Linked DNA regions of Tribolium castaneum. The protein of the gene in region 2 interacts with the protein of the main gene of each other region in a pairwise test. Links are inferred from orthologs where the notes say so. Each region holds a gene or a part of one and is shown on either strand. Other genes may lie near its edges.

Region 1 (4,196 bases), on a different chromosome or scaffold from region 2:
TGAGTTTTCAAGTGCTTTATTGAATTTAACAATAAGACGAGAGTTACAAAACTGACTAAGCTACGTACAAGTAACACTTATTTAGGCCTTTGTTCTAAGCAAAAGAATTCTTAAATAATTTGTACTTTAATATACTTATCATAAAAACAAGAAAAGTAGTAAAACATTCCACAAAAAACTGATTGTACTTGCAAATGGCGTAATAAATTTCACGTTTGTGTATATTGGAAGGCAAATGTGCAGTCTTAGTAAAAATTTGAATTGAAAACTGTACGGCCTTAAAGATACGCTAAAAACCGACAGATTAAACGAATCTTATCAACACCAAGATTTTAGAATTGGAACATGACACAATGTACATCACATGGATTATAAAAGTTTGGTAAATCTTATATAAATTTGTGGACATGTAACATTAAACTACGTAATGAAAACTCCCCCTCAACATCGTCTTTCCTAAAGAAAAATATCACATTTTAAGTGAAATGTAAGCATAAGAAACATGTGGATGGCAAGATTAAAATGAGCACATCAAGCTAAAAAATCAGTACTTCAATCGCTTAAAAATCCGTAACAAGACATCAAAATCCCAATCAACATTCAAGAGGATATAGAGTAAAAGTTTGAGAGAAATATATACCAAGACAGAGAAAAGATTTTCGATGACAGACATTTATTAGATTATGCTCTCTTATTATAGTTAAGAGCACAAATCAAAATTGACTTAGTTTGTTCACTCTTTCGTCTTAGAATAACTATGTTGCAGGCTTATAAAAGCGTTGCACGAATTGGGTCAAATTCAGGACCTGACCGGGGCCCTTGCTCAAGTCCATTTGGATGTAGTCCTCCAGATTGTGAGCAGTTGCTGAAAAAAACATTTCTTTTTTTTTTAATAGTTTTAAATCGGTATCTGTAACCGTATTCGCAACGTTTTGAAAAATATCGGACAGTGTACAAATTGGTAAAACTTTGAAATTTTTTTAAATATAGTTTAAATTAACATTTTTGCATTATGTTTATGTCTTACTATTGAGAATTTAACGCTCTATCTGTCTGTATTTTTTTCTTCACCTTGTGCTAACCGTTATATTAATACAACCATTTTTTGAAATAATTTTCGACGGTAATGAAACTGCGCTCTTGGGCGACATTAACGGAACTATCACAGACGGGAACGTTTTATTCCTAAGCTTTAGATATTCGTTTTGTTGACAATGCACAAGCGCAGCAAAAAAAACATTTTATAGAGTTTCCACCTATATTTTATTAGGCATTTTTGGACCTAAAAATTCGATTACTTACCAGCTGTCTGAATGGCGGGGTAATTAGGCGGTGGCTTAATCCACGTGCCATCTGGCCTCTTCATATGCCTTCTATCCGACGAAAAATCCCTCAGAAATTCCGCCGCTGGAATCACTCTAAAATATCTAAAATAATCCGGTTTCAAAATGTGGTCCGTGCGAAACGTTTCCGTCACGTATTTGTGAACGTATGTGGGAAACGGTAATTCGGAATCTAAATCGTAAACCAAGCATTTTTCCGGCTCAGGATGATACAAAAAAATCACATGATAGTCCTGCAAAAAACGTGATTTCCACACGTTTTGACTGGATGTTAAACACAAACCCAAATAACTAATCTATCCTCGTCTTTCCCCGCCCGTTGTCTCCACAAAGGAACGGTCCGACTTGGATTTGAGACAAAAACTACGAAACATTTATTTAATTCAGTCGAGTGTCTCGTCGACACGTCTTGACACAACTTGTAAACGTTCTCTTCACTGCAACAAAAACCATCAAATGATATTCACAAAATCGCGAGCAAAATACCATTTGACTAAAAAAGTGGCTACTTTTTCCATGCTTTATGGAGGGTTGCCAAAGCTGTGTGAATAACAACAACAATACAAAGGTGTGCGCATGAATGTGCATGTGGTGAAAATTTCAGGCATTAATTATGCAAAAACCGGAAAACACCAAATAAACTCTGATTGAAGAAACTTGCAGAATCACAATTCATAATAAAATATTGAAAAAGCGTGGCATGTCCAAGCACCATAAAGCGACAATTAGATTATAATTTATAGCACAAAATCGATCCTTTTTGCATAACTTAAATAAATAAATGTAAAACAATGTGTTTTTTACGAACTGACGCAAACGCACAAGGTTGTATGTTGTATTTCAATCACTTCTTCGGCTAATTAGCAAAATAACGAAGGAGTGCCCGATTTTGTTAATTTTTTCTATATGTACTTAGCCCCAATTTAATCACACACACGCTCTAGAGGGAACAAAAAATAATTGATATGCGTAGGTCACGCAAACAGATTTCTTCCTGTGGTACAATTTTAAACGAATTTTTCGAAATCGCGCACCGAACCACCAAGACAATAAAAATAAATCTTACGTAAAGCACCTTGCAATAAGAATAGCAACGCTGCGGCACTATTAAATATCAAAACAACGAACCTAACCTCAAAACCAAAAACATCAAAATTTTGAGTTTTAGACACTCACCAGTAGCAGGACACGTGCGAACACTCGGCCTGCTTGGGGAATAGATTAATTGGGTTTTTCTTGTTGTTTTCCGAATTGGGTCGTTGTATAATTTGGGTTTTAGAATCAGACGCCATGTCTTTGAGTTGGTTGCTTTAAAAAAGGGGGGAAAAACGTCCAGCAGTTCCTCTAGACTTGATCACCTTCACCCAAAATCTTTTTGTTGATTGTTGATATTGGAAAAAATGCCGCACTGCACTATTTCATCACATATTTGACAAGTACGACCTTGGAGGTCAAAAACAGGGGCACCAAAGCACGCGCACTGACTGGTGTCTATGGTCACATTTTTGAATCAGGTAAATTTTCGATGGCCTGTTTCCACAAGCAAAACTTCCAATTTTGAATTAATTGAATCGCTTATTTTGTACTGATAGGTCCATAAGGCGGCTAGAAACATTGCTTCGTCCGAGTTCTTCGCATGTGCGATGTTTTCCAAAACGAATTCTTTCACCTGGAATTTAAAGGCATTGAAAACAATTTTGCTTTAACTGGCTGAATCTTTAATGATCTAACTCACCTCAAATTCTTCCCCGTACGCTTTTATAACACTTTCGACCAAATTGGCCAAAGATTTTAAATTGAGTGAAATAAATAACGGACTGCCATTTTGTTGCAACTTTTCCGTAGCCCTCATTTGATTGGAGAACAGAATTAACGCCTCCTTGTAATGCCTCAAAGACTGTACTAATCCGTACAAATCATTGGTTAATTGTTCCAAATTTGGGGACAAATCTTTGGGATTATCGGCCTTCAAAGACGCAATTTCCTTAACAACGGTGCACCCCTTGATATGTAAATCATTCCACTTCTGGATATTGTTGTAAACATCGGCCACCAAATCCCGCACGATTCGGGGAAGTCCCGTCAAATTTTTCTGGGGTGACACCTGGGCTGGACTCTCATGCACTAAAACGAAGCGTGATTCTCACCAAATAACAAATTATACGTACGAGTAACCGGCGAAAAGCCACAAATTGTAGAATTGTTTGTTTTTTTGGGCGTCTTGTCACACATGTTCCTAGCTAACCTCACAAATCCAACACATGGAGTGACGTGACTTTGGCCACTTCCGCGGCAGCCCCCTCAAAAATGTCGGTTTTTTTGACTTGCCGTTTGAAAAATTCAATTGGGCGAAAGAAATTCTTCAATTTCAGTAGTGATATTGTACGCCAATTGTCTCAACAAGGTAAAGTTTAAGTTATGTCACTGGTTTTTTGATGTGGGCTTTCAGTGAAGCAAAATGAGTCGTTTGTGCCCTTTATGGACGTTATAAAATTTCGGCGAGAGGAGGCCAGACGCAGTATTTTAGTGCAAGTCCAATCGGCTCAGTCCTTTAAAGAACTCCACTCGTATTGCAATTCTGTGGGGAATGTTAGGCAAATGTTGCACTACACAGTTGGGGTTGAACCACTGGTAAATGCCTAAACGTCTATGATTTTTTTGTATTTTGGGCCGTTTTAGAATTTCATTGTGGTGGAATTTGCATCCGAAAAGGACGTAACCAATGTTCTTGAGCGCAGTTCTTATCTGGAAGACAGTCAAGTGGTTCCAGTCCAGTCACAATTTTTGTGGTTTAGGGCTTCAAATCGTAAATTACCAAAATTAAAGCAGTCCAAAAGTGCCATTTTAAGCATT
Region 2 (3,417 bases):
AGAAAATTGCGGGATATAAAGGGAGTGAAAAAAAATAAAGTTTGCAACATAGAGAATCTTCTTAAAAATTAAAAAAAATCGTTAAGGTCTCAAGAGGTGTTTGTCCGAACATAATTTTTTTACAGTCGAAGGCCCTAGCGAAGGGCATATTCTTCTGCAAAAATAAAGAAAATTGCGGGATATAAGGAGGGTGAAAAAAATAAAAATTGCGAAATCGGAAAATCTTAAAGAATCTTTAAAAATTCATTAAGGTCCCAAGGGGTCTTTGTCCAAACATGATTTTCTTACAGTCGAAGGCCCTATCGAAGGGCTTAATCTTGTGCAAAAATAAAAAAATTGCAAGATATAAAGTGGGTGAAAAAAAATAAAGTTTGCAAAATAGAGAATCTTTATAAAAATTAAAAAAATCGTTAAGGTCTCAAGAGGTGTTTGTCCGAACATATTTTTTTTTTACAGTCGAAGGCCCTAGCGAAGGGCATATTCTTCTGCAAAAATAAAAAAAATTGCGGGATATAAGGAGGGTGAAAAAAATAAAAATTGCGAAATCGGGAAATCTTAAAGAATCTTTAAAAATTCATTAAGGTCCCAAGGGGTCTTTGTCCAAACATGATTTTCTTACAGTCGAAGGCCCTATCGAAGGGCTTAATCTTGTGCAAAAATAAAAAAATTGCAAGATATAAAGTGGGTGAAAAAAAATAAAGTTTGCAAAATAGAGAATCTTTATAAAAATTTAAAAAAATCGTTAAGGTCCCAAGAGGTGTTTGTCCAAACATGATTTTTTACAGTGGAAAACCCTATCAAAGGGCTTAATTTCTTGCAAAAATAAAGAAAATTGCGGGATATAAAGGGGGTGGAAAAAAAATTAAGTTTGCGAAATCTGGTAATCTTAAAGAATCTTTAAAAATTCATTAAGGTCTCAAGGGGTGTTTGTCCGAACATGATTTTTTTACAGTCGAAGGTCCTATCGAATGGCTTAATCTCCTTCAACAATAAAAAAAATTGCGGAATATAAAGAGATTGAAAAAAATAAAGTTTGTGAAATCGGGAAATTTTAAAGAATCTTTAAAAATTCATTAAGGTCCCAAGGGGTCTTTGTCCAAACATGATTTTCTTACAGTCGAAGGCCCTATCGAAGGGCTTAATCTCTTTCAAAAATAAAGAAAATTGCGGGATATAAAGGGGGTGAAAAAAAAATTATGTTTGCGAAATCGGGAAATCTTAAAGAATCTTTAAAAATTCATTAAGGTATCAAGGGGTGTTTGTCCGAACATGATTTTTTTACAGTCAAAGGCCCTAGCGAAGGGCTTAATCTCCTGCAAAAAAAATTACGATTATTTTGATAATTTTCCTAGTGTGAACTTGGCTATAGAAAACGAGAATCGCGCGCAGCGATTGTCTGGTCGACTGTAATTTTCATGGTGCCAGCACCATCGACATCCAGTTTGTGACGTCTTGCCACTTGACATCAATTTCCTTGAATTTGCGAATTGTTGTTAGGGTTTAATTTTAATAAAATGAGCGAAAAACGGGTGGTCATATTCAGGAACGGGACGAACACGAATGGAGAAGTGGGCCTGAGGGATTCCCAGGTGGTGTTAACACTTAAAAGTAATTTTTCCAGGTTTTTGCACTTCCGCAAACCTTGGAAGAGTTAGTGAGCCAGGCGTATTTAAGGTTTAACTCGAAAGTCCGTCGCTTGTTTATCGAAGACGGGACCGAAGTCACCGAAATTTCCTTTGTGCGCAATAACGACAATCTGTACGTTTCAAGTGGCGAGGAGTTCATTCCTCCCCCGAAAAATGCCACCAAAAGAGTAAAATGCTCAGACTGGGTTACGCTGAATGTTGGTGGGAAGTACTTCACAACGTCTAAAAGCACTCTAACGACCAAAGAGCCCGACAGCATGTTGGCGCGAATGTTCGCGGGCGATGAGGACGGTTATTTGTTCACTCCCAGCAATATCGACAAAAACGGGGCTTTTCTCATCGATCGGAGCCCCTTATACTTCGAACCCATAATCAACTACTTAAGAAACGGTCAATTAATCTATGATAGTAACATAAACCCTGAGGGGATCCTCGAAGAGGCGCGCTTTTTCGGGATTGAGTCAATAATCCCCACCTTGGAGCAGATAATCGCCCAGCAGAGTGTGAACAGAGACAATTTACCGCTAACCCGACGTGATGTGATCGACGCCTTAATCCGAAGTGCCTACACGACCGAGCTGCGCTTCCAAGGAGTCAATTTATCAGGCGCTGATTTGAGCAAACTGGACCTGCGTTACATCAACTTCAAGTACGCCAACCTGCAAGGCTGCAAGCTGACCGGCTCCAACCTGAGCTACTGCTGCCTGGAGAGGGCCGACCTGTCCTACGCCAACCTGGACGGGGCCCAGCTCCTGGGCGTGAAGTGCCTGTGCGCCAACCTGGAGGGCGTCAGCATGAAGAACTCGAATTTCAAGGACCCGGCCGGGGGCAGGGCCAACATGGAGGGCGTCAACCTGAAGGGGGCCAACCTGGAGGGCAGCGACATGGGCGGGGTCAACCTGAGGGTGGCCACCTTGAAGAACGCCAATTTGCAGAACTGCGACCTGCGAGCCGCCGTCTTGGCCGGGGCGGACTTGGAGGTAACGTGAGAAGGGCTATTTTGTGAAATAATTGGGGCTGTTACAGTTTTGCGACTTGTCGGGTAGCGATTTGCATGAAGCTAACTTGAGGGGGGCGAATTTAAAGGACGCCGCGTTTGAACTCATGCTGACTCCGCTGCACATGTCGCAGACGATTCGTTAAAGTGGTTGTGATCGATTTTGTATAAATTTACCATTAAACTAGCCTAGGTTGTGTATTGCGATGTAATTTTTATTATGTATTATGTTTTACGTCATTTTTAAAGAATTATTAAAGTTATGGACATGAAAGTCGGTATTTGGGCTTTTGTTGAAAATTAAGGAACACGAGTTTCAGGTCAAATGAGGATTAAAAGTTAAATGAAAATTCGTAATTTTGAAAAATCATCCACGCATGGCATTGTAAGTTGCGTCATTTACCGCAAATTGAGAAAACTACAAGGTTTACAAATTTTGCACAATTTTGAGTCTGTAACTTTAAAATGGTTTCCAGAAATTTGTAGATTACTGTAATTTTCTGTTTTACAGAAACAGTTTTACAGTTTTCACACGCATAGACGGCACGGTAAAGTTTAAGGACCGGTTTACAGAAACGTCATTAATTTAGTTCGCAATTAATTGCGTGATTAACTGATCACGTGACCAAATTGTAGCAATTTGATTGGTCTCTTCGAGTAGCTAACTTTTAACAGAGCAATCAACTTAAATTGAGCTTTCTATAAAACGGCCCTAGAGGTTCCTATTTTAGTAATTATCTAATATTATTAGATTAATACCAGTAATTTAATAAT

The links.
Region 1: the proteins of BTB/POZ domain-containing protein KCTD9 (region 2) and tun interact in binary tests that used the Homo sapiens proteins (3 or more experiments, as listed by UniProt). The link is inferred for Tribolium castaneum from reciprocal best matches to the Homo sapiens genes KCTD9 and NTAQ1.

Annotation. Positions count from the first base shown.
Region 1 is NC_087396.1:24,512,212-24,516,407, reverse strand, and holds the start of tun (protein N-terminal glutamine amidohydrolase), read right to left. Parts: upstream 2,801-4,196; 5' UTR 2,636-2,800; coding exon 2,520-2,635; intron 2,514-2,519; exon of another isoform or gene 1,862-2,513; coding exon of another isoform or gene 1,830-1,861; intron 1,781-1,829; coding exon 1,627-1,780; intron 1,577-1,626; coding exon 1,303-1,576; intron 881-1,302; coding exon 756-880; 3' UTR 1-755. Other genes in the region: uncharacterized protein LOC663387, read right to left, coding at 2,854-3,012, 3,079-3,467, 3,512-3,575; MTPAP (poly(A) RNA polymerase, mitochondrial), read left to right, coding at 3,651-3,747, 3,793-3,974, 4,023-4,196. UniProt on the Homo sapiens protein: Mediates the side-chain deamidation of N-terminal glutamine residues to glutamate, an important step in N-end rule pathway of protein degradation.
Region 2 is NC_087395.1:16,846,912-16,850,328, forward strand, and holds BTB/POZ domain-containing protein KCTD9, read left to right. Parts: upstream 1-1,412; 5' UTR 1,413-1,514; coding exon 1,515-1,568; intron 1,569-1,621; coding exon 1,622-2,626; intron 2,627-2,672; coding exon 2,673-2,789; 3' UTR 2,790-2,917; downstream 2,918-3,417. UniProt on the Homo sapiens protein: Substrate-specific adapter of a BCR (BTB-CUL3-RBX1) E3 ubiquitin-protein ligase complex, which mediates the ubiquitination of target proteins, leading to their degradation by the proteasome.